Linked DNA regions of Stegostoma tigrinum. The protein of the gene in region 3 binds, or shares a complex with, the protein of the main gene of each other region. Links are inferred from orthologs where the notes say so. Each region holds a gene or a part of one and is shown on either strand. Other genes may lie near its edges.

Region 1 (8,221 bases), on a different chromosome or scaffold from region 3:
TACCTTAAGGGGCCACACATGCTCCAAGGTCCCTCTGATCCTCCGTGCTTGCCAGGATCCTACTGTTCAACACATATTCCCATGCCTTGGTCATCCTGCCCAAGTGCATCACCCCACATTTATTTGGATTGAATTCATTTGTCTCTGATCAGCCCATCTATAGCCTCCTATAATCTAATGCTATCCTCCTCACTATTTACACTCAGCAATTTTTGTATCATCTGCAAACTTACTTGTTCAACCCTCTGATATTCAAGTCTGAGTAATTTCCCTAAACCTTAGACTTCAGGCAGAAAGCCCCGTATACCCACATCCCCAGATGTTGTGATATTCAGTGACAACAGGAGAGCGAAAAGATAGCACTAAACTCCACGTGAGCAGCCTGGAGTGCAGAGCAAGTCGTAAAGCATGCAGTGCAAGTTCCCCAGCCTTCATTCCGTCTCTTTCTAACCCAAATACTCCCAAACCCCTAAAGAAACAAAGTAGTTCAGCCTGGGGAACTGCAGCCCTCCCTCCCCCAGTTTATTGTAGTCATTTTGCCAGTAATAACTTGCCTGTAGTACGGCCAGAGGATCTTCACATCTTGAGAAGTAACACATCGAAACCATTTCCTCCGCCCACCTATTCCCGCACCGCCCCCCCGAACCGTCCCTCCCAAATTAAAATACCAATACCAAAGCTGCCTCCCACACACAAATGTACAGTACAGTGAACCCAGAAAGACTTTGTCTCAGTCTGACAGAGAGGCCCTGCATTGATATAGTGCCGGGTTATTGATCATGACATGCTGAGGGCTGTGGCAAAGATCCACGTTGGATGCATCGAGAAGCCTCATGCTCTCACACTCACCACCTCTCCCCCCTCCTCCTCCACAACCCCCACCTTTTTTTATTTGGCAATGTCCCAACAGCCATTTTAAAAGTGAACATCAGAGCACATTAAAGCGGCGTTACTTTGTGCAGACAGCAAATCTGTGGGTTATAGAAGAAGCACGCCGCCTACAAATCAATCCCAGATCACAGAGAGAGAAAAAAAGAACCAAAATCTTAACGAGATTAGAATCTCAAATCACACCGGCGTGTCAGAACTTCAGTTCACAAACACACCGGGGTCACAGTGGTGGCGGGGGAGCTGAGGGAAGTCATACCTGTGGAAGCCCAGAGCCGGATGAATAAGACTCGGAAAATACAAGCAGCAGCAACACCTCCACCTCCTATCTCCACCACCTCTCCCTCCACCCCCCACATCACCACCATTACCACTCTCTCTTTCTCTGTGTGCTGCTGCCCCCGCCTCTGTACACCATCGCAATGCTGTGGCGAGCTTGCATTTGACAGGCTGAGTCATAGAGTTTACCTCATCGCGGGCTGAAAACACACACAGACACACACAAACTGCAAGCGACATGACAATTGCACAATCATGATCCCTGCAGCACCAGCTCATCCCCTGCACTTCTCGAAATCCCTTCACCTCGAATGCAACAAAATACAACCAACGCGGTTTGGGGATTTTTTTTTAAAAATCGCACACATATTTCACCTCCCTACACTCCATGCACAAACAATCCTGTGTTCACTATTTCCTGTTGGGCCGACCGAAAACAATAAAACCCAAATGGCACGCAGCCCCTTTAAATCCTGTAAATACACCGGGACTTTCCACTGGGTGCAGACTTGCAATGGGCTATACCAGGAAGAGCGAAGTCAGTCCAAACGTGCTTAAAATGCAAGCTTTCAGAATTTCATGTTACACAAACCTCAATTCTATTTCGTGCATTTTTTTCCTCTTTTGCGGCGTGTCACTTTGACCAGCAAAAGTTTGCACAAGACAATACTGTTTAGAAAAAAAGGCCAGGTCATTTGCAAAGAAAACACTTAAGGGTGGGGAGCGAAAATGGAGATGTAATTTATCAGCTCGAGAAATTCTATTTCACTCTGCCTCAACTATCTCGCTTTCTCTCTGTCTGCAAACTGCGGGGGTCACCTGCTCGCGTCAATTTAAGGAGCAGGCCGCTGAAACCAAGCGAAGTGCTAGAAGCTGGATCAATATCCGCACTGACCCCACTCTCTCTCTCTCTCACACACACACACAGTCACGCACATATACAGACAGAGACCAGGCCATGGGAGAAGGGTCAAGGAGATCTAAAAAAAAAACTTCTGTAACTTACACAGGCCAGAGTGTTTGTTTTCCCCCTTGCAAATCGCCCAGCAGTTTCTCAATCCACAACTTTTTAATTTCGCCTGCAAACAGTTGGTGGCTCACTTCCTAGTTAAGAAACTACGTCTTCGTAAAAGTTATGCAGTGACGTCAAGGACCCAGCCTGTCAGCAAATCACCACGGCCACTTTTTTTTTGTTTAGAAGTGGCTGTTTGGAAATGTCTTTTTCTGAAATGTATTTTTTCCCCTTGTTCTTAAACTCCCTCCCGCGATTGTAATCCTCTCTTTCACCACCTCCGCCCCCCAAACCAGAACTGAAAGGACTATTTTCTGCACTCCATTGCCCTGTGGCTGAGGCAGACGTGTCCCCTGGGGCGGGGTGTGGAAGCTGCAGTTGCTATCTCAAGTTGGACTTGCCCACGTTTCATTAAAAAGGTCGGAATGGTATATTGTTACAAGTGGCGGCCTCATAACGCTTGCAAGTTGGCTGGGGACAATTTGTTGCAATCACGTTGTGCTGTGTTGCAAGTTTGAAGGGCTGGTTAGGTGTTGCGTCCTACACGAAGTTGCACAGGTTGTGAAGTTTCTGGGGGAGTTGTCTTACTGGGAGCTCAACGTGTTTTGATGAATGTGAAAACCAGTTGAGGGAAGGCGGAGTAGGTTGTTTGGATTTTTTTTAAAAAAGCGAAAACGGGGTGGGGTTTTAATTCCAATGGAAAAGCGGAATTGCAGGACGCGACCTGTCGGTTGTATCGAGAACGCAGCTACTGTTCGTGTTTACACTCTCTCTTTGCCACACTGAGCTGTGATTATCGGATAGCTGCAAAATGGGAACAGAAAATGCTGGAAGTACTCAGTAGATCTGCGAAGGGCAGAAACAGTGAGCGTTTCAACTCCTCGATACTGTACCGAAGTTGCACGGTTACCTCCCCCCATAGGAAAATGAAGTAGTTCGGTTCCTGAAAGGCCTGTGTTCTGCTATATTCTGTTGTTTTGTTCTCCCTCTGGGCTGGAAACATGTGACTGTTAAATAGGGCAGAGAATAATTATCTTGTTCGGCCCGCCTTTGTATTTAGTAAATATTGTAAAGAATTTCTGGTTTGAAATGCACAGGCTTTGACTTGTTTTATAAATACCATTACACTTTATTTTGATAGTACAGGGACATCGCTAATAAAATCCAGCTAGGTAGGAGTTTGCGTACACGCTGATACCTGTTAAAGGGTTGCTGTTAATGGAGCTTTATCAGAAACGAATTCACTGCAGTGAATTTTTTTTATATGCAATTAGAATTTAGTGAATTGTGATTTGTAAAAGGTCAAACTGTCTAAATCCTTGGCCTCTATCCTGGGAATATTGGTTAGTTAACCCGTAGCAATTGCCTTGAGACCTCACCTGAGCAGCTATACACCATCCAGGCTATAGCATCACATCCAGTCCCTCCAGCGCTGAGGCTCAGAAGCACTGTGCACGATCTACAATTTGCAGTGCAGTAACTTACTTTGACAGACACCTTCCAAACTCTCGATCTCTATCACCGACATGAACAGAGTCACCCCTACCTGCAGGTTTTCCACCAAGCCACTCACCGTCCTGACTTGGAAACGCGTCGCTCGGTCAAAATCCTGGGATTTCCTCCCTAGTAGCATTGTGGGTTAATGTACAGCACGTAGACTGCAGCGGTTCCGGAAGGCAGCCTCACCACCACCTTCTCGAGGGGCAACTAAGGATGGCCAATAAATGTTGGCTCCGTGACCCACGAACAAATTAAAAACCATTTTATTCCTTGTCTGTTGAAGCCATCTCTTTGACCCTGTCAGCTGTTGGTGACTGAACCAGACTGTTATGCTGCTGGTATGTTTGATCCTGAGATAAACTTTCAACTGAAAGTCTGAGACAGCAGACTATCTATTTTCACCACAGTAAACCACCTAACCCCACAGCTTTCTCACCTGTTTTGCTGCTAAAACCCTCACTTAGTTCTTTGCCTCTTAAAGGTGACCATTCCAACACTCTCCTGGTTGGGGTCTCTTAAATCATGAAAACTTGCAGCTCCTGGCTAACTAATGCTACCTTTCTTTTTGGTATTCCCCTCCATGGCCCCAACTCTGTCTATACTCCTGTAAACTCTGCCAATCCACAATGCTCTAAGATATTTTGACTCCTACTGCTTGAGATTGAAGATTGTGTCCCTGTTGGGCCAGATTTGCCAGATCAGTGAAAATAGAATGGCACAGGTAGTTAGGAGAGTAAGTTGTGAAGAGGAGATAAGAAGTTTGCAAAGGGATAAAGACAGTGGGTGAGTGAGTGGGCAAAAACATTGACAGATAGAATGTAATGTGGGAAAATATGAACTTGTCCACTTTAACAAGAAGAATGGAATAGCAGCATTATTTAGAGAGATATTGCAGAATCTCAGGTACAGGGGGATCTGGATATTCTGGTACGTGGATCACAAAAGTTAGTGTGCAGGCACAGCAAGTGATATCAAAGGCAAAGGAAGTGCTGCTGTTTATTGTAGGGGAACAGAAAATAAAAATGAAAAACGAACAGTTGTATGGGTCCAGGGTGAGATTGCACCTGGAATAATGTGTACATTTTTTGGCCATTTTTATTTCAGAATGTGTGTGTGTGTGTGTGTGTGTGTGTGTGTGTGTGTGTGATACAGGAAGTTCAGTGAAGGTTGACTCTATCAATTCTTGGTTTTTTGTGGCACTGGGAGTTGGTGGTCTCATGGGAAAAGATTGGACAGGTTGGGCCTGTATCCATTGACATTTAGATAATGAGTGATGATTTTCTTGAAGCCTGTGAGACCCTGAGGGAACTTGACGCAGTGAATGGTGAAAGGATATTTCATCTTGTGGAATGGACTGGACTATGGGTTACTCTTTAAAAATGAGAGGGTCACTTTATTTTTAAAGGCAAGGGGTAATGTTTTCTATCTGAAGGTATTTGGCATCTAGAATTGTCTTCCTTTCAGAGTGATGAAGTGCGTTGGGATTGGGGGTGGGGTTGGTGGGGGACATCATTGAATACCTTTTTAAGGTAGAGGTACACATATTCTTGACTATGAAAGTGGTCAAAGGATATGGAGGGGGTGAGGGAGGGTCAGCAAGTAGAACTGACGCCACAATCATACCAGCCATGAGTTTATTGAATTGCAGCAAACTAGGCCAGAGGGGCTGAATGGCCTATCCCATTCCTAAGTGGAAGGTCTGACTGAAATTGCAGATAGCTCAAATTGCTGTGAGCTAATGGAACTTGTTCTGATAGAGAATATATCTGCCAATAGGGCAATCATGTAATAAATAATCTATTACAAGCCTTTAGAACTTAAAATTTTAAACAACATTAACAAGGAGTGGAAACAGTGGTTGCAGCTTAAGGGCCAGAATTCCTGATCTGACATACCGAAAGAAAGGCTTGAAATTGTGTTGTATTTTTCACAAGCCTGGGGCAATGCAGCTAATGATGTGCTTTTGGTATGTTATGATTTCGGAAACAAGGCATTGCAAACTGCATTGAGTTGGGTCCAGGCGGGAACAGGACACCATAAGGATACAGGTTCCAGGTGGGTATAGCAGCTCATGGGGGTACAGGACAATGCTGCCAACTGCGGGAACAGCCATTTTCCCCCTCCAGCAGGCCCACCCCTTTACTCAACTACCTTCATCCAACTTTCAACCTCCTGTAGAGCTGCTACTGAGAGCCCTGACACCGGTTCCCTCCACTTCCCCCACACCCCCACCACCCCCAACCGCCGGCATCACCCTTTCTCTGGCAACTTGTCTCGTAACCTGCAGCAAATAAGCAGGGAGGAAACGGAGGCGAGGGAGGTGGGGGAAAATTTTGTTTGAGTTTGCTGAAGTCTCGGCAACAGACAATTTGATGGGGATTGACACTTGCTGCGTTGACTGGAGCAGACAGGGTTGGAATAAATCAGAAATACCATCAGTAGTGCCCCTAAAAAGTTCAGCCGTACTTATATTTTCAACAACTTTGATCTTTTTTTTCCATTTTGGTAGTAATGTGTCTGGAGGATGTCGGCCTCCAGAGGACCTGGATGTCTGAGCAAATTTTGTCATTAATGTGTGAGCATACGTATTAGGAGCACGATTAGCCACTCGGTCCGTCGAGACTGATAGCCCATTCAGTGAGATTGTGGCTACTACTCTCCAGCTTCCTGCAACTCCCCGCACCCTGTATTTCAAGCAGACATTGTAAAGACCGTGACTACATGGAAAGCAGATGTGTTCGCATTTGCTTGAATTGGATTGGAATATCAGATGTGAAAAGCCCTGTACTCTTATGGGTGAAGATATATGAATGTAAGAACTAGAGCAGGCCATTCAGCCCTTCAAGCCTGTTCCACCATTCTGGCATGATTTTAACCTCAACTTTACATTGCTGTGTATCACCGACTAATCTTTGATTCCCTTGGTAATCAGGGATCTGTTCACCACTGCCTTTAAAAATATTGAAATATCCTGTATCCACTGCTTTTTGAGGAAAGGACTTCCAAGAAAAGATGTTTCATCATCTGTTTAAAATGGGTGAGCCTTATAAACCACAAGAGGAAATAGCCTTTCCACCCAGTCAGGTGGTTGAATATTTTTGAGGCATGGGTAGATGTTTTTATTTGATGACAACAGGAATGAAGAGTTATCATGGGTAGATGGGAACGAAGAATTCAAGAAGAGCTTGGCCATGATCTCATTGAATGGTGGAGTAGGTTTAAAGGGCTGGTCTTATTTATCCTATTTTGTACATTAATAAGGGATTTAAGACACCTCGCTACAGTACCGAGTGGAGTCCTGTGTCTAGTTTTGGCCTCCTTACCTGAGGAATGATGTATGTGGTCCCAAATGAATGTCAGAGAGGTTCATTAATGTGGGTTGCTGGTTTATGGGGATTGTCCTATGAGTCAGCTAGGCCTGTATTCCCTGGTGTTTCAAAGAATGAGAGATGATCTAATTAAATTGTGAACCTCTTGAGAGGCTGGACAGAGTATATGCTGAGAAAGCATCCCCTCTGGCTGGGGAATTGATGACGTGGGGTCACTGCCTCGGACAAAGAGGTAGACATTTATGCTTGAGCTGGAGAAATACCTTCACTTAAAGAGTTGTGAATCTTTGGAAGCCTCAAATGCACAGGGTTGTATGTACGCTGTGTACAGTTTGGAGAGATTGTAATTGGATTTTGGGTTGTAAGAGAAATAGTTACATTATGGGCAAATCAAGTCAATGTTGAAATTAGCCATGATCTTAATGATAGAGGGCTCTAAGGACTGATCTAGTCTGATTGCAATCTTAATCCCACTTTACTGTCCACCCTTTCAAGTCCCTTGTAATTCAAAGCTCTATTCAACTCGGCCTTGAGTACATTTGATGACCCAATGTTCCCTGCTGTCTTGGGAAGAGAATTTCACACACCACCAACCCTTTGAGTGAAGGAGGAGGAACAGGATGAGACATCATCTCTGCCTCCATACTCAAAACCCCTCAAGATCACACGTGTTTCAGTACGATCACCTTTCTGTCTTCTAAATTCCAATGGATACAGGCCCAACTTGTTAGGGTCTCTCACAAAAAGGAGAGACTTATCTCCTAGGAGTCAGCCAAGCGAACCTTCCCTGAAAGGCCTTCTGTGTGGGTCTGTCCATCCTTAAGCAAAATCTGCAGCATTGTACACAGTCCTCTTGATGTGGTATCACCAAAGTCCTGAATATCTATAGCTGGGTGTCCATCTCCTTACAATCAAGATCACTTTCCACTTGCCTTTCTAAATACTTGCTGTACCTGCAGGTTTGCTGGATTGGAGCTTTCTGCAGTCTCTCGCCATTTAAATGATGTCCTTGATTGTGCTGGACTGGAGCTTTCTGCAGTCTGTCTCCAACTAAATGATGTTCTGCTTTTCCATTCTTCCTCCCAACCCTCTTTTTCCCACTTCTGCTGCTTTTGTGCTTCCTCATTCAACCTGGCCAAATCCATTTGTACCTCTTTGAATCCTCCTTGTTTTCCTCCCCACCTTCACATCCTTAAGCAGATTTGACCACAAT
Region 2 (8,387 bases), on a different chromosome or scaffold from region 3:
GAAGTGATTGGAACCATGTGGACTTCTTTGACTACAAGTTTCTTGATTGCGGTTGTTACCCTGGGCCAGTCAGGAAGTACTGCATGACTTACCTTGGTTGATCAAGGAAGCTTCTCACTGTTATGCACTTCTTCGATAGTTGAGACTGCACTGACTTAAGTGGCTAACTCTGCTGAGAAAACAGTGGCAGTTATAGTCATGTTTGTTAACCTGGGCCAATCAGGAGGTCCTGGGTGACCAATATTAACAGAGGGCCTGACCCTGACCTGGCTGGCCGTAGTCACTGTGCTGTGCACAAGTAAATAAAGGGTGATGTGGTGATGGGCTGCAGGCCTCTGTGCATTTATTTCACATTCGGAACTGAAGAAGGAATATTGTGACCTGACAAGTTCATTCTTTTTCTCCATAGATGCTGTCTGATCAGATGAATGTTTTCAGCACTTGGTTTTTTCCCCAATTTACCTGTATTTGCACTACTTTCTTCATATCACTAAAATAGAATAACAAAGTTAAATGATCTGCTCTCACTTTTTATTATAAAAGAGTTCCAGAAGAGATGAGTTATTCATGTACTATGAGTGGTTCGAATTAAAATCCAACAGACTGTCAATTGCTATACCAAAATATCCGATATCATTTGACACAAGGAATACTAAGAGCATGAATGATGGGATCAAAAAGATGATAGATCCATCAACCAATAAGTTGCACTCAAAACAAAGGAAAGGAGATTGTCCCTGAGTACAATAAACATTTGGAGAGATGGGTGGAACACTACCTTGAATTGTGAATATGGTTAGTGAGGCAGGTTTGCATGCTACTTAGAGCTTGCCTAACATTGAAGAGCTAGATAATGAATGGCTTTTGGAGGAACTAGGTAGAGTCACTGATTTGTTGCCATAGGCAAAGCGCAAGACATGGATGCCATACTACCTGAAACAATCATGCACAGAAAATTGGTGTTCCTGCAACAGTTGCACAAATATGTGTCTGCTGGAGGGACGAGAAGTGCCTTAGAATATGCCATGGGGGAAAAGGTATTTGCCCGTGTTGCTCTTCTTAGATTAGAGATCCTGGATGAGCACATCTATCTTGAATCTTGTGGCTTCAGAACTGGGAGATCCACAGTTGACAAAATTGCTCAGTCCAGCAACTGTAAGAGAAATGCAATGAAGGGTGGACCTGACTATAATAGCCCCCATTGTTCTCATCAGAGTTAGCCACTTGGGTCAGTGCTGTCTCAACTATCAAGGAAACGCATAATAGTGAGAAGCTTCCTTGCTCAGCCAGGGAAAGTGTCTCCATCTCCTCCCTGCTGCCTCACACTTGCTCTATCTCTGCTGTTGCACCTGTCTCCCACCAAACTCATGGTCCACCATTCATACCATTGCATGCATTATCTTCTCTTCTTGCCCTCAGCCACTCAGTCCTTCTAAACATGCATGGCCACAGCACTGTCTACTTATTCACTTGAGGCACTGCTCCACCTATCCTGACCTGCACCAGCACTAATAGCTGTGCCAGTCACTTCCATCACTTGCAATTCTTCCCTTTCTCTCATTCTAGGAGAAAAAGGACCATAAAAGGGCAGAAAGAACCAAGACAGATGGTGGAATGTTGGCAAGTGATTCCTCATCCCCAGCTATCATTGGAGCCAGGCCCATTCCAGCAATGTCCGAGACCAGTCCTATAGAGGTACTGAAACCTTTGTTCATTGTTCATCTTCATTGCTGCCAGTAGGAATGCATTCTTAATACACCAGAATTTGTTTCCGACAGTTTTTGTTCCTTTTGTCTTCTGCAGGCATGAACAACATCATCATAGTCTCTGCTGTTAACAGACCTGCTGTGCAAGACATCACCTGCTGTACCTCTGAGGAAGAGAGCATGATGTCTCCAAGAATGTCCTGGCAAGGTTGCCCCCAATTACCACTACCCCTCCCCCAACCCCAGAATAAAACAGAACAGCTCAGATACTGACACTTTCGTGGTAATGTTAACTAGATTGCAGTCAGGTGCACGTGGTAACGAGCATATCACGGTCAAATCTTCACATAGCTAAGGAAGAAATGCACCATGTGTCTGGCACTCTAGGGACTGTTTGGTGACCAAGCTGCTGTGCAGTCCCAGGCCATTTGTGACTTAATTGAGATACACAGGCAGATGCAGGAGCAGTAGGCAAGTTGTCAGCGGCACTGGATAACCCTGGTGGTTAGGTTGCAGGACTGCAGCAGTGGCATTGGAACCCTGCTGCTTCTGCATGCGAGTGGCTCACTGCATGGACTGGTTGGTGGCTGCCATGGAGTGCTGAGCCCAGTACAATACCTGCTGGATATATATGCACATCTACACTCCACCAGTCCAGGGGGTAACTGGCCATCAAGGTGGAATTTTCTAAAGTAGACCCAGGTAATGTTGGAAAATGTGCCAGAACCTCCTGACAAGTAACAAACTGATGCCGCTTCAGCAAGAATTGTATTGATCACAGAAAATGAAAAACAGGAGGAAAAATCAAAAGCAACTAACATTGTAACACCTGTCCGAGGTTTTCAAGCTAACTGGAGAGCTAAAACTTTGCAAAGATAAACTTCATTCCAAAGAGGGATCATTTTTAAGTTCAGCAGGGAGAATGAAAGTTTTACCACTTGCTGCACTGACCTTTATCAAGAAGACCCCAAGGTATGACCATTCATTCAAGCATTCTACAAACATCAAAGTGAGACAGAAGAAAATCCACCTTACTAATTGTCACTATTAACTGTTCTTGTGAATTGTGTTGTAGAAGATAGGTAATAGAAGTAGGATTAGGCCATCCAGCATATCGAGTCTGCTGTGCCATTCAAACAGCATGGCTGATCATGTACCATTGTGCCATTTTTCACTTCAATCTCCATGTATAAACGTGTTTGTTATTAGCAAGTGACGTGCATTTCGTATTTAGGTTACATGTTGGGGCTAAAAATGTTTACTTGGGAATGCATGTCCAATTTTTTGCACACAATTAAATGGGATTAAATTAATGGTAAATTAAATGGAGATAGCAAGAACTGCAGATGCTTAAGTCAGAGACAGCACAGTGCGGAGCTGGAGGAACACAGCAGGCCAGGCAGCATCAGAGGAGCCGAACAGTTGATGTTTTGGGTCAGGACCCTTCTTTCCTGCTCCTCTGATAGTGCCTGGCCTGCTGTGTTCCTCCAGCTCCACACTGTGTTGTCAAATGGGAAACCTTGCTTTGTTTTAAGTAGCGATTTCCAAGAGCATAACCGTTAATTAAAGCAAGGTATTGTTATGGATTGAAGGCGAGAGCACCCTCTAGCGTAAGTTCATTACCACTTAGCATGCAAAAATAGCTCAGTAAAAACATTTAAAGTTATGGAGATGATGTAAAAGTACACCTCAAGTAAGCGAGGAAGGATAGTGTATTGTTTTAAAGCTTGTCAGTTTCTTCTATGATTTCCTTGCAAAGATATATTTTGAAAATTAGTTATATTTACTGAAACTAACATCTATGCTTAATAGATTGTTGAAAAAAGTTGCATTTATATAATGCTGCATATTTTACAGATAATTGATAACTTTTGACCACTAGTCACTGTTGTAGTTTAGAGAAACTGGCAGCCAATTTGCATATACCAAATGCCCACAGAGCAATGAGATAATGACCAGATAATTGCTCTGTTTATTGACGATGTTTGTTGTTGTGTGCTCATATTTATTTCTCTGAGACAAAACTTCCATGCTTCTGGGAATTTACTTGATTTCTTTTCCCCTGGTGCGCTGCTGTTATCTAGAATAGGCGAAAGAGAAACCAAGAATTTCAGCTGGCTGTCTTGACTTCACATTTCTTTGCTCCTTTTCTTGCTCCTCCTGCTCACAGAGCCTTGAAGTCATCTTCCTTTCTTCTCTGAACTCCTTTCTTGAACTTTTGAATAATGCTTTCCATTCTTGAGAACTCTTAAAACTCATCTTTTTGACTAGGCATTCCACCCCCCCAACTGATTCAGTGTTTATTTGTGATGTAACTGTGAACGTTTCTCTGTATGAAATGTGAAATTCAATTGATTCTTCTAGAATCCCTCACTTTGTGCCATTCCCTGACCTTTGTTGAGCATCCTACAGGCAGAGCCAACAGCAGAAATTCATCATTGGGACAGTATTGATATGTTATGGGTTACGGACTTTTATTTTTGTCAAAATATGTGTTCGATTGTGCATTTTAATCAAAAATATAAACAATAAATGACTGGCTGAAATTGTCATTTTAATTCATGTCTCTAATAGTAGCATATATTTTAGTAGTTTTTTTTAATCTTGAGTTTAGGGTTTTCTCTGCTGTATTTCAGGGTGTGAAGTTGTAGTTGCAATTCTTCACCCAGTTTTTTGTTTGCTGATTTCACCTGTTTAAAGGAGTTGCCGAATGAAGGTATGGCAGTTTTCTGCTTGGACAGGGAAAAAGAAAATGGAGGGCAAACCAACTGCTTCCCTTTCCTAACACTTTCGACTAAAAAAACCTACTCCTTTCTGACCTTTTGCAATAGTTTCTGTTGGAGAATAATTCATGGTCTGGAGAAACTTAAATAGAAGATTGTAATAAAAAAAACTAGAAAATTAATTCTGTATAATTACACCTTTACTGGCTACCAATTTTTTGTAAATTGAATCTGTCTCTAAACTATTTTTGTTTCTATTTTATTAAAGCTGCAGCAATACACAGAGTAAAGAAGAGGATGCTTTTGCATAGGTTCATGCTGTGAAAATTAGTTGACTGCTGTTTAATTCTACAGAAGGATATTCCCAAATCAGGAGCTATGGATTGCTACAGTTTCACCGATGAGAGCTCTCTCCAAACCGAAATGCATCTGCCTTTGCTATCAGACAGTGAGTTGCCCATTGCAAGTAATATCCAGAGACAAGAATTCATCCCAGACCCTGATGATATTATTTATGCAGGAATGACAAGTATAGACCTTGATTCTAACCTGGAGACTGCAGAAATTCCTGGCGATCCATTTGCTGACAATGTAGATCTATCCCTGTGTACTGTAGATAAGGGATGTGACTCCCCAAAGATTCCCAGTGACTCCACGGACACAGATTCTCCACCCATGTTGCTAGGTACTTGAATGTGCATTTTTCTAAGCACAGCAGTGCTCTTATAAGTATTTGCTGCTGGGATAAACTTGATTTCCTGCTTGTTCAAAATAAATGCCCAGTCAAAATTACTTACTAACACCGAACTTTTAACGGCTCCGATAAGATTTTATTAAAATTTGTATTAACTTTCCTAATGGCCTGTTTATGAAACTGCCTAATAACATGTCAGGCTGTTCAGATCCACAGTTGTTTGTGCTAGGATAGGCAGAGCAACAGTGGGCACTACAGTTGGCCTAAGCCTCCCTGGCTAGGAAATAGAAAATCTTCCAGTGTTCTTAGTTCTGATTTAACAAATCCTACCGGTTAGAAAAAGAAATTATGAATGGTGCGTGCAAGGAGGATCAGAATGTGCATGTCATTCCCTCCTCACTTGAATAGCTTGATTACTTTTGTGCTTAGTCTTACACACACACAATAACAGAGGGCTACAACCATTTGTATGTATTTCACTATAAATCTTATCTTTCAGAAGAGCAGACAAGACTGCTAGGAAATAAAAAGGAATCTTAATCTGTGTATTTTCTGAGCCATCTCCCTCTCACACTGTTGGCAGAAGCTACTGAGAAATGGTAGAAACAGCCTTGGAAGCTAATTTGCAGGGTTTCTGCTGAGATTGTGACAGGAAATTAGATAATCTTTGAGGAAAGCGGATAAGTTTTATGTTGTAGATGTTGAATAGTTATTTTTTAAGCGTGGATATATACCCAAAGAAGGCCAGTTTGTTCTTTGACTCTGACTCTGAAACAAAGCTCAGGAATGCTTGGAAATGTACATATTGGTCCTCCATTTTAAAGTATACAGATGAGTTGGATCAATATGTCACATTCACCAGTTTTATATTTTCCCATCTGGGAAGGCATTCCAACTGACTTATTCCATTATAAATACACTGTAGTATCTACTACCTAGAAGAAACAACTTTGTGTGCTATCTACTGTATTGAATCATTTTTCTGTCCTTATATAGTCTTGCTCAGAAAGACACTCACAATTGTGGCTGTCAGAATTGTAGACCAGAAATCAAAAATTAGTGTGATAGGTAAGAGAACCAAAAGAACTGCGGATGCTGTAAATCAGGAACAAAAACAAAGTTGCTGGAAAAGCTCAGCAGGTCTCGCAGCATCTGTGAAGGAGAAAACAGAGTTAACATTTCATTAACTGACTTCTGAGGAAGGGTCACCAGACCTGAAATGTTAACTCTGTTTTCGCCTTCATAGATGCTGCCAGACCTGCTGAGCTTTTCCAGCAACTTTGTTTTTATTCACGGTAGGTAAGAGAGCCTGTTACTCCCAAATATTCAAGTAGACCTTTAGCATGGGTAGGTCAGCTTTCTGTCTGGCTTCCACTATGCTGATATTTATTCATTTGTTTTATTATCTGAATGGTAATGCTGTAAAGGTTACCTTTTTGATTTATGTGTTTTTGTTATAAAAGCTGCTAACAAGGATCTTGTGATGCGCTTGTACCAAGACTGCTAAATGCTTCATGGAAATCAGTTTTGTTAGAGAATAATCGAATGCTGTGCATATGGATTTTGTTTTTGTATTTAGAGTGCCAATGTTTTTCCTGTATATACTCTTTATTTGCCTCAGTGTGTCTTTTTGAATGTTTTAAGATTCATTTGCAGTAGTGGAAGTTACCTTGTGATACCACAGCTGTACAAATCCTATCTAGTGGTTGTCAGCAGCTTTTTTTCTGGTCAGCAGTGTAACTGAGCCCCATTCTGTTCCCCCCACCCCCAACTGATGTCTACACAACAATTTATAATTTGATAGCATCTGTGTAGTGACATACCCAAAAGCACTTCATGGGAGCATAACGAAAAGCAGAATTTGATGCCACTGCACGCCGTTATTTAGGACAAATGACCAAAGTCTTGGTCAAAGAGGTAGAGTTTAAGGAAAGCCTTAGGAGAGTAAAGCAGAGGGGTTAAAGGAGGACATTACAGAAAATAGGGTATTGCAGCTGAAGATATGCCTTCCAGTCATGGTGTTTAAAATCAGAGATACTCCAATGGCTAGAATTGGAAGGGAAGAGAGATCTCAGAGGTTTGTAAGGCTGAAATATTGCTGGTTTTTCCTATTGACTTTTTTGTTACAGGTATTAGTCCACTCCCTCAAAAAAATAGTCCTGAGAAAAGTGGAGGTAAAAGTGAAGTGAAATATGGAGGGCTGCAGAAGAGAAGGCGTCTCTCCGCGAGGCATTCTCCGCAGCAAGCATTTCAGGTTAGCACTGCAACTGTTGTTCTTCTGGTTCGTCTGGTTTTAGGGCCCTAAAAAGAAATCTGTGCCAAGAAGTTTTTAATCTACATTATATTTGACTTAGTTTTTTTTTAGAAAGCTGGAGAACACAAACCAGTTTTGTCAAAAATAATAAGTTCTGATTTGTTCTGTAAGAGTAGGATATATTAGGGAGACCAATAGGAATGTAAATATTAACTGTTACAGTTGTTTTATCTTTATGTTGAAACCCATTTGAGGCAAAAATAGATAATTAGTTTGTATATTCTATTTTCTAGGAATGTAGCCAATGTGGAAAATCATTCAGCAGTGCCAGTGCTCTGAGCAAACACTACCTGACGCATAGTCATGAACGTCGGCATGTCTGCAGGATCTGCAATAAGGCCTTTAAGAGACAGGACCACTTGTGTGTGAACATTATGTAACTCAGGAATTTCTATTAGTTATTTTTCACGCACAGCAGATTTGCTTTGTCTACCTGGAATGAAACGAAATGCCAGGTTTTGTTTTATTCATTACAAATCAGACGCAAGTTCGATATTTGTGATTAAATTAGGCATTCCCAGTATTCATGTAATTAACATGCGTCAAGTCCTGTAAAGGTAACAGTGCCTGTCCAGCATCATCCCACAAACTACTGCATGAGATAAGCAATCAGCTAATTTGCATTTACGGGTCTTGGTTGAAAGAGGGTTATTGGCTTGAAAAACAGAACAAAAGTGACTGAAAGGCATTGTACCAAAACCTACCAGGTTTTTTACAGGCTACTAGGAGCCAGATTTAAAAGTGACGTTACCCGTACCTGAAGTGTTTCCTTAATATTTGAGTGCCAGGTTTTCAATAGTAATTTGCAAGAAGGAATTGAATAAATACATCAAAAGATGAGCAAAGAGCAGGGCGACTAATTAGGAAGCTCTTTTAGAGAGCTGATACAAACATGATAGGCCAGGTGGTATCCATCTGTGCTGCATTCTTCTATGAGTCAAAGTTAAATC
Region 3 (8,036 bases):
CCAGGCAAAAGATTCTGAATCTGACAAGCGGAGGCTATTTCAGTGAGTTTGAGATTACAATAAATTCACTTCTAGTGTTTCTTGTTGCCACATCAGTTCTGTTGACTGATCTCTATTCTCAGACAGGAAATCCCCCAGCATTGATCGGCCCAATCAAACTTATGATCAGAAATCCAAGAAGTCCTAAAGTCTAATGATGCTAGCTGTAAACACAGACTGTCTCTCACAGCTGGCCAAGGTTGAAGATACTTCTAGTTTCATGAAATGTAAGAGATTCTTTCAATACTCTATTTATTGTCCAACACCATTTGCCCTAAAAGTCAGCCATGTACTGAGTGACTGGAGTCACATGGTGGCCCACCAAATCAGGATAGCCGCTTCCCTTTAGAGAAGGGCACCAATGGACCCAGTTGAGTTTTTAAGAATAATCAGGTAATTTGGCCTAATACTGGTGCTAGCCAGAATTAACAGATTGGTAAAGAATCCTTCTTCCAACTTCACGTCTAATATGCAGATTCCCGATCCTTGACCAGGTCTGAAGAGAATACACTCTCACAAAAATCAATAAAAATGTTTTACCTCACTGCCATCTGTGATCTCCTACCCCTTCGAGCAACTTGGCGGTGCTTAATCATAATGTTCCAGGGATTCTGGAAAACAGGGAAACCTTGTAAGATCATCACAACAGCAACTCAGGCAGCATCAAAGCCTGTCACTAAAAGCACACTCTTGTAAAGAACACATCTTTTTAATTTTCTATTTCTGTTTGTGGACTAATGTAGGAAAAGAATGGCTTCAAAACTAAGGATTGCTGCATGTTTAGAATGCAGACAACCTAACAGTCATTGCAAGCTTCATTTAAAGAAGCTGAAACAACGACAGAAGTTGTTGGGCAAGCTCAACAGGTCTGGCAGCATCTGTGATGAAAAAATCAGAGTTAACGTTTCAGATCGGGTGACCGTCCCTCAGAACTGTTAACTCTGATTTCTCTTCACAGATGCTGCCAGACCGGCTGAGCTTTTCCAACAACTTCTGTTTTTATTCCTGATTTACAGAATCCGCAGCTCTTTTGATTTTATTTTACAAAGCTGACTGTTCAAGCTGAGAGATAGTAGGAACCGCCTAGGAATGGCAGGAATAGTAGAACTGTTCAAGCTGTAGTTATAGGGTCATAGACTCATACAGCACAGAATCAGACCCTTCGGTCCAACTTGTCCGCATTTGAAGTGTTGTTTTGAAGATTAGCCTGGAGCCAAGAGATGTGTATAAGTGAAGGTTCGATTGGCAACAAATAGTTGATTGTCTGTGGACTAGAAACCAGTTATTTACAATAAGTACCCTCTGTCAGGCCAAAAACTCTGAGATCAATTCTCAGGTACTTAGCTTGGGACTGTGAACAAAATAACGAGAAGCCTTCAGACCTCTGTTCTCTGCAGTAAAAGCCATCCTAATGCTGACAAAACGGACAACAAAGTGTGGAGCTGGATGAACACAGCAGGCCAACCAGCATTGTGCTCCTAAGATGCTGCTTGGCCTGCTGTGTTCATCCAGCTACACACTTTGTTATCTCTAATGCCGAAGAAAACTAGTTTTGTTTTCCCTCCAGCTTATGCAAGCCATGACTATTAGTTAATAAGTCAGGAATCTTTCACAAGTATGACCCAGCTCCTGCAACCCAGTGAAAGCACCCAGAGAAGGAAAACTGACAAAGTGTTCTGATCAGCACAAGAACTATCTCAGCAGATCTTGTGAACCGAGATGACTGAACTGCTTTCCCAGTTTCCCCTCATCCATAACATCCATGTTTTTTTTTAAAACCTGTGTCAGTTTGTGAGCAAAGACACGTATAAGGGGATTAGAGTTTTAACCAGTAGAGTGATATGTTGATGGCTCAGAATTGTTTACCTGTAACTAGAGTTTAATCACTCACAACAATGAGCAGTTTGCTTAAGTACAGAAATCCGGTCCATGTTCTCTATCATCCTGAGTCTAAAAGACAGTGAAATAGGGCAATTTTTCATGGTAATGTTAAGTTTTGTGACAACTTCAGGAATAGCAGGGTTTGATTCCCAGTGCACTGCCCCAAATAGGCAGAACAACACGCTAGGCAACCCAACCCCCATCCATCGAGCCCTGCAACACACCATCAGCTTTTTATCCAATTCATTGCAGCATAACCCCCTCTGGCTCGGTACCATTGCCTTCTAACCCATGACTGCTAAAACCTAGAAGGACCAGGTTCCAGCGCTTCAGCAAAGGCACAAAATTTTATTACAACCCACTTAGGAAAGTGTACTGATTCTCAAACTCCCATGGTCACTGCAAAAGTTAATGACTTGATCCAAGCACATAAAAAAAATTCTGACTTATTAATTATTAGTCATGGCTTGCACAAGTTGGAAGGAAAACAAAAAGTTTTCTTCAGTGTTACGGTGATTTTTACTGCAGAGAACAGAGGTCTGAAGGCAGTGGATGATGGTAGTTGGAGGGTGTGATGGGAGTGTGGTGTGTTGATGGAAGTGGAGGTTGGATGGGAATGGTTGATGGGGGTGGCTACAGGCGGTTGGAAGGGTGATGGGGAGGGGCAAGAGATGGAGGGTGATGGGGGAGAGAGCGGTGGTGGGGGGGGGGCGCGCCGTGGGAGAGTGGGGGGTGGGTTGTGGTGGGAGAGTGGGGGGTGGGGGGGTTGTGGTGGCTGGAGGGGGAGTTCTGGGGGGGGGAGGGGGAGTTCTGGGGGGGGGGTGGGAGGGGTTGTGGGGGCGGAGTGGGGTGGGAGAGTGGGGGGTGGGGGGGTTGTGGTGGCTGGAGGGGGAGTTCTGGGGGGGGTGGGAGGGGGAGTTCTGGGGGGGGTGGGAGGGGGAGTTCTGGGGGGGGGTGGGAGGGGTTGTGGGGGCAGAGTGGGGTGGGAGAGTGGGGGGTGGGGGGGTTGTGGTGGCTGGAGGGGGAGTTCTGGGGGGGTGGGAGGGGGAGTTCTGGGGGGGGTGGGAGGGGGAGTTCTGGGGGGGGTGGGAGGGGGAGTTCTGGGGGGGGGTGGGAGGGGTTGTGGGGGCAGAGTGGGGTGGGCTGTTTAGGAGTGGGGGGGGAGGGCGGGAAGAAGAGGAGTTGCCGGGGGGTGGTGAGTGGGAGGTTCACCCCCTCTTGGCCCCGGGCGGATCTGATGATGTGGGGGTTGTCCTGTCGGACCGGAAGCGATCCGCCGCCCGAGCCCCGGGGGTTGCTCTCCTCACCGTGCCGAGCTGTTCATGCTCCGGGAGGCCGCTGCCGTCCCCACTCGGGCTACCGCCGTCTCCACTCGCTCCCATGGTAACCGCTCCTTCAGCCGCCAGCACCGGACTCTCAGTTCCCACCGGATATCACCCACACTCACTTCCGGGGCAATGCGCGCGTGGCCCGCCGGGAACCGCTTCCGCTGCCCTGTGCGCGGCTGCGCCACCATTTTCATGCGGGGCGAGCGGCTGTCCACCATGCCAGTATGGGACAAGCGGCTGTGCGACCATGTTAGTTCGGGGCGCGCGGCCGTCCGCCATGTTGATGCGGGGCGATCGGCGGCCGCGAGGCGTTGGGTTGCTGCCCATAGTGAGCAGGGCCGCCATCTCAGTTCGGGGCAGACGTCCGGACTAGCCCTGCCAACAGCAACGGGCAACGTTTGAGCGGTCGGGTATAAAAGTTGGTGCCATGAGCGGCCCACGAGTCCCGTGGTTGGATAGTTTCGCACAACTCTGCCCGATTTGATCGGTGTATTTGGCCTACGACCTCCGGAGATGCTGCCCCCTGCAGTTTAAATGGAAAACTGGGCGCAACAGTTCCTTGAGGCTCTGATTCCAGCTTAGTCATGGTACTGGCTCCATAGCTCAGGGGTTAGAGCACTGGTCTTGTAAACCAGGGGTCGCGAGTTCAAATCTCGCTGGGGCCTACTCTTACAAATCTGTTTTATTTCTGTGACTGAGGGGAAATGAGGCTGGAACAGAGGCTGGAGGTTTCCAAAGGGTTATAGAAGGCAGATGAAGAGAATGTGGGAAACCAGAAGAGGTAGAGGGTGGAGAGATCCTGAGAGAGATGAGTGCTCGACTGGTCACTTTGGCCAAACTGACCACTCAGAGGCACACAGGATCCATGGCCTGCTTCATGGTTCCACTTTACTTCCATGAGAGACCAGGAACAGGAGGATGTAGGAAGTGGATAGAGGATGGGGTGCACTGCATACAAGAAACAGCTGTCCAGCCTCATCCCATTTTCCAGCACTTGGCATGCAGCCTTGTGCGTTCTGGGCGTTACTTGCTGGAACCTCAAGGCAGCTAGTAAGAAGATGTGACAATAGGTTGCCCTTGTGGTCAATGTCCGTCCTCGAGAACCTGCATACAGTGTGGAAAGATATTTCATACAACTGTACAAATTAGGACCCTGAACAGACCACTCAGCCCGTCAAACCTGCCCCACCATTCAATAAGATCATGCCTGATTTTGAACTGGTCAAGCTCAGTTTCTCAAAGATCATATCATTTTATCTTCTGCATTTTTGCTTGTGCGTCAGAGGATGCATCAAATGTAAATTTTAAATTTTTAATTTAAAACCAGGTCCAATGGAAACAACCTAGGTGGTTTTAATTTGTATCATGAGTCATTTAGATCTTTGCAATTCACCCTATCCACGCCCATCATGATTTTATAAACATCTGTACAGTCACACCTCAACTTCCTTGTGAAAGAAGGGCCAGCCTATTCAGCCTCCCTTTAGAAGAAAAATGGAAAATAGCATTCGGGGAAAAAAAGAAATAGCCACAAACAAAATTTGTCAGCCCAACAGCACCCACTGAGGCTGGGCACAGAAGAAACCTTCAAACCTGTTGTTGCTATGTTTGAATGTGGGATAATTTTAAAAGAAGGAAATGTCAATCATCATCGAGCAAAGTTACTTCTGTGAAAATTGTATTTTCCTTTAAGAAAGAACAAACAAACAGAATTTGATAATGCTTAGAACCCACATAGTAATGTTTCATTTCTGTTTTAAAGATGTTACAAAAGCACATTTTTAAACTGGACAGTAAAGCTTCTTCAGAGCCCCCATTACAAAGCTGGTTAGAGTAAATGTGAAGTGGGAGGCAGGAAGCTAAAATGTGTGGCTCCTTTAAAAGATTTGTGCCTTGTCTGTACTTAGAAATTTTTTAAAAATAAACATTTCTATGTCTGAGAGCAGCAGCTGAAGTTGCCTGCATAGCGAACCTCAAAAGGTGAAACAAGCATAGCAAAAAGACCTTACAAGTGGCAGGTAAAACAGTAGTTTTGTTTTGATGTTGTGACAAGTTTGAATTCAGCCAATTAATTTCAATGAAGCACCTAGATAAAGAAAGCCAACAGAATTTAAATATGATGGTGTTACCATCACCCTGAAACCAATCATATTATAAGAATTTGATTATGTCATGTGGGGTATATAAGATGAGGGCATTTGGAAAATTGGGGAGAACTAACTGCCATTTACGAGAGTTAGCACCATTCAGCTCTCAGAGAAAGCACATGTACTTAATCAAAGGTACCACAGCGTTTTAGCTCAAAGTCCTCATTTGAAAAAATTATAGAGATAAAACATCCCTGATAGCAGACTTAACAGAAGAGAGGTGTTAGTGAAGAGATAGGAGAAGACAGTCTGTGTGGACTTGAAGAGATTAAGTTATAATTTATTGCTTTTTATTAATTGGGTTTATATTAGTTGGGCTTGTTTTTATTTAGATGCCATCCCAGTAGAATTTAAATCAGTTAGGGAGTAGTTAGTAGACAAGGGGGGAATTGTTGGTTTGTAATTTTATTAATTGTTGGGTTAAATAAATAAATTTGTTTCTTGTTCTTTTGTAAAGTGGATATCAGGGATTTTCTTTCTTTAAACCGGTCTTTTAATAGATTATGAGGGGAAAGACCAGCTTCACTTGGTGTTTTGGGGTAATTATTAGAGGGGAATGCCAACTGTTGTCATAACAGATCAGGGCTTGTGTTTTAGTTTAATTATCAGAGGGGTTTGGCCATTCCCTGTTATAACACCCCAAAGTCAAACTGAATGGTTAATAATGGAATGGCCCCATTTAGAACCAAAGAACAATCAGCCCTCCAAGCCTGCACCAACAGATTTTTACCCTTCCATGCTAACCCTGTCCTCACTTACAGGTTCTGTATCCCTCTATACCCTTCCTACTCATGTATTTGAAAGGTAATGAAGGGAAATTGCACAAGATTGAATGGGAGATGTGGTTAAATGGGATATATACAGTGAGAGAAAAGTGCAGTTGGAATTGTTTCATTGACAGCTCTGTCTTGGAGAAACGTGAGCTTTTAACCATGAGGTTGTTTTTTTTAAGAAAATTGGATGATTTGGCCACCACATGAAACATGGGGAGAAAGTAAGGAAGATAGATATGCTTACGCCTTCTTTTCTGACTTGTTGAAAAGATCACCTAAAACTCAAAACTGCATGCCATGATCTGGGGATATGGGTGTACACGTGCAGAGGGGATTGTTACATCTGAAGGGATGGTAGCTCAGTTGTTAGTGCTGCTACCTCAGAGCCCAGAGAACCTGGGTTTGAATCCAGTCTTGGACGACTATTTGTGTGGAATTTGCACTTTCTCCCCGTGTCTGTGTGGGTTTCCTCCGCGTGCTCCGGTTTCCTCCCACAGTCTAAAGATGCGCAGGTTAGGTGGATTGGCCATGCTAAATTGCCCATAGTGTTGAGGGTGGGAAATGCAGGTAGGGGGTGGAATGCTCTTCGAAGGGTCGGTGTGGACTGGATAGGCGGAATAGCCTGCTCCCATACAGTAGAGATTCTATAACCAACTTGAGGAAAGACATGGTGGATATGTACTGAAGAACAGGTCTCAGACATTGACATTGACAAGGACTGGAAAAATAGTCCTTGTGACCCGAAGAACAAGAAACATTATTTTAAATGATAAAGCACTGACACAGTTTAAAAACAAATTCATTCACAGGACATGGGCATATCTTGACTAGACCAGCATTTATTGCCCATCCCTAATTGCCAAGAGGGCAGTTCAGTGTCAACCACATTGCTGAAGGCAGGGAGTCACATGTAGGCCAGACCAGGTAAGAATGGCAGTTTCCTTCCCTAAAGCGCATTAGTGAACCAGATGGGTTTTTCTAACAATCGACAATGGATTCATGATTCTTGATTCCAATTTTTTTATTGAGTTCAAATTCAATGGCAGAATTCACATCTGAGTCCCCAGCCAATTGCCTGGGTCTCTGGCTCACTAGTCTGGCCATAATACCACAAGACTATCACATCCTCTAGACCACAATCCACAGAGAAACTGACATTGAAATAATCAGAAATAAACATCATGTACAGTATTGGTGACCATACTTATGGAAGGATGTCAATGTGCTGGAGGCAATTCAGAGAAGATTTACTAGATTAATGAGAGATAGTGGGAACTGCAGATGCTGGAGTCCGAGATAACAAGGTGTAGAGCTGGATGAACACAGCAGGCCAAACAGCATCAGAGGAGCAGGAAAGCTGATGTTTCGGCCTAGAGCCTTCTTCAGACATGGGGGAGGGGAAGGGGGCTCTGAAATAAATAGAGAGAAGTGGGGGGCTGTAATAGCAGGTAGATAGTGGAGTGGATAGGAGGGAGAGAAGACGGATGGGTCAAGGAGGTGGGGATGAGAAGGGGGATGCAGCTCTTGGGATGAAGTCGGAAGCATGGAGGTTTTGAAGCTTGTGAAGTCCACATTGAGACCATTGGGTTGTAGGGTTCCAAGGCAGAACATGAGGTGCTGCTCCTCCAGTGGCATAGTTGTGACACTGGAGGAGACCCAGGATGGACATGTCGTCCAAGGAGTGGGAGGGGGAGTTGAAGTGGTTCACGACTGAGGTGTTTGTCGTGAACCGAGCCTAGGTGTTCCACAAAGTGGTCTCCAAGCCTCTGCTTGGTTTCCCCGATGTAGAGGAGGCCACATCGGGAACAGCGGGTATAATAGACCACATTAGCAGATGTGCAGGTGAACATCTGTCTGATGTGGACAGT

Evidence for each region.
Region 1: the proteins of deoxynucleotidyltransferase terminal-interacting protein 1 (region 3) and mideasb are in contact, whole or in part, in a cryo-EM structure (PDB 6Z2J), measured with the Homo sapiens proteins. The link is inferred for Stegostoma tigrinum from reciprocal best matches to the Homo sapiens genes DNTTIP1 and MIDEAS. Residues at the interface, in NP_443183.1 of Homo sapiens: Pro63, Ser66, Leu69, Leu70, Ala72, Val73, Leu74, Pro76, Ser77; in NP_001036783.1 of Homo sapiens: Gln768, Asp771, Leu772, Thr774, Ala775, Ser778, Ser779, Ile802, Leu803, Leu806.
Region 2: deoxynucleotidyltransferase terminal-interacting protein 1 (region 3) and zinc finger protein 541-like share a complex: the UniProt entries of both Homo sapiens proteins name them as parts of the histone deacetylase complex. The link is inferred for Stegostoma tigrinum from reciprocal best matches to the Homo sapiens genes DNTTIP1 and ZNF541.

The regions. Positions count from the first base shown.
Region 1 is NC_081363.1:86,352,208-86,360,428, forward strand, and holds the start of mideasb (mitotic deacetylase-associated SANT domain protein), read right to left. Parts: upstream 3,813-8,221; 5' UTR 3,726-3,812; intron 3,044-3,725; coding exon of another isoform or gene 3,004-3,043; exon of another isoform or gene 2,892-3,003; intron 2,599-2,891; exon of another isoform or gene 2,174-2,598; intron 1,248-2,173; exon of another isoform or gene 1,148-1,247; intron 1-1,147. Other genes in the region: ptgr2 (prostaglandin reductase 2), read left to right, coding at 3,004-3,043.
Region 2 is NC_081392.1:18,939,250-18,947,636, forward strand, and holds the start of zinc finger protein 541-like, read left to right. Parts: upstream 1-4,945; 5' UTR 4,946-4,951; coding exon 4,952-5,114; intron 5,115-7,252; coding exon 7,253-7,377; intron 7,378-7,670; coding exon 7,671-7,798; intron 7,799-8,387. UniProt on the Homo sapiens protein: Transcription regulator which is essential for male fertility and for the completion of meiotic prophase in spermatocytes.
Region 3 is NC_081372.1:57,376,883-57,384,918, forward strand, and holds the start of deoxynucleotidyltransferase terminal-interacting protein 1, read right to left. Parts: upstream 3,368-8,036; 5' UTR 3,303-3,367; coding exon 3,228-3,302; intron 651-3,227; coding exon 580-650; intron 1-579. UniProt on the Homo sapiens protein: Increases DNTT terminal deoxynucleotidyltransferase activity (in vitro). Also acts as a transcriptional regulator, binding to the consensus sequence 5'-GNTGCATG-3' following an AT-tract.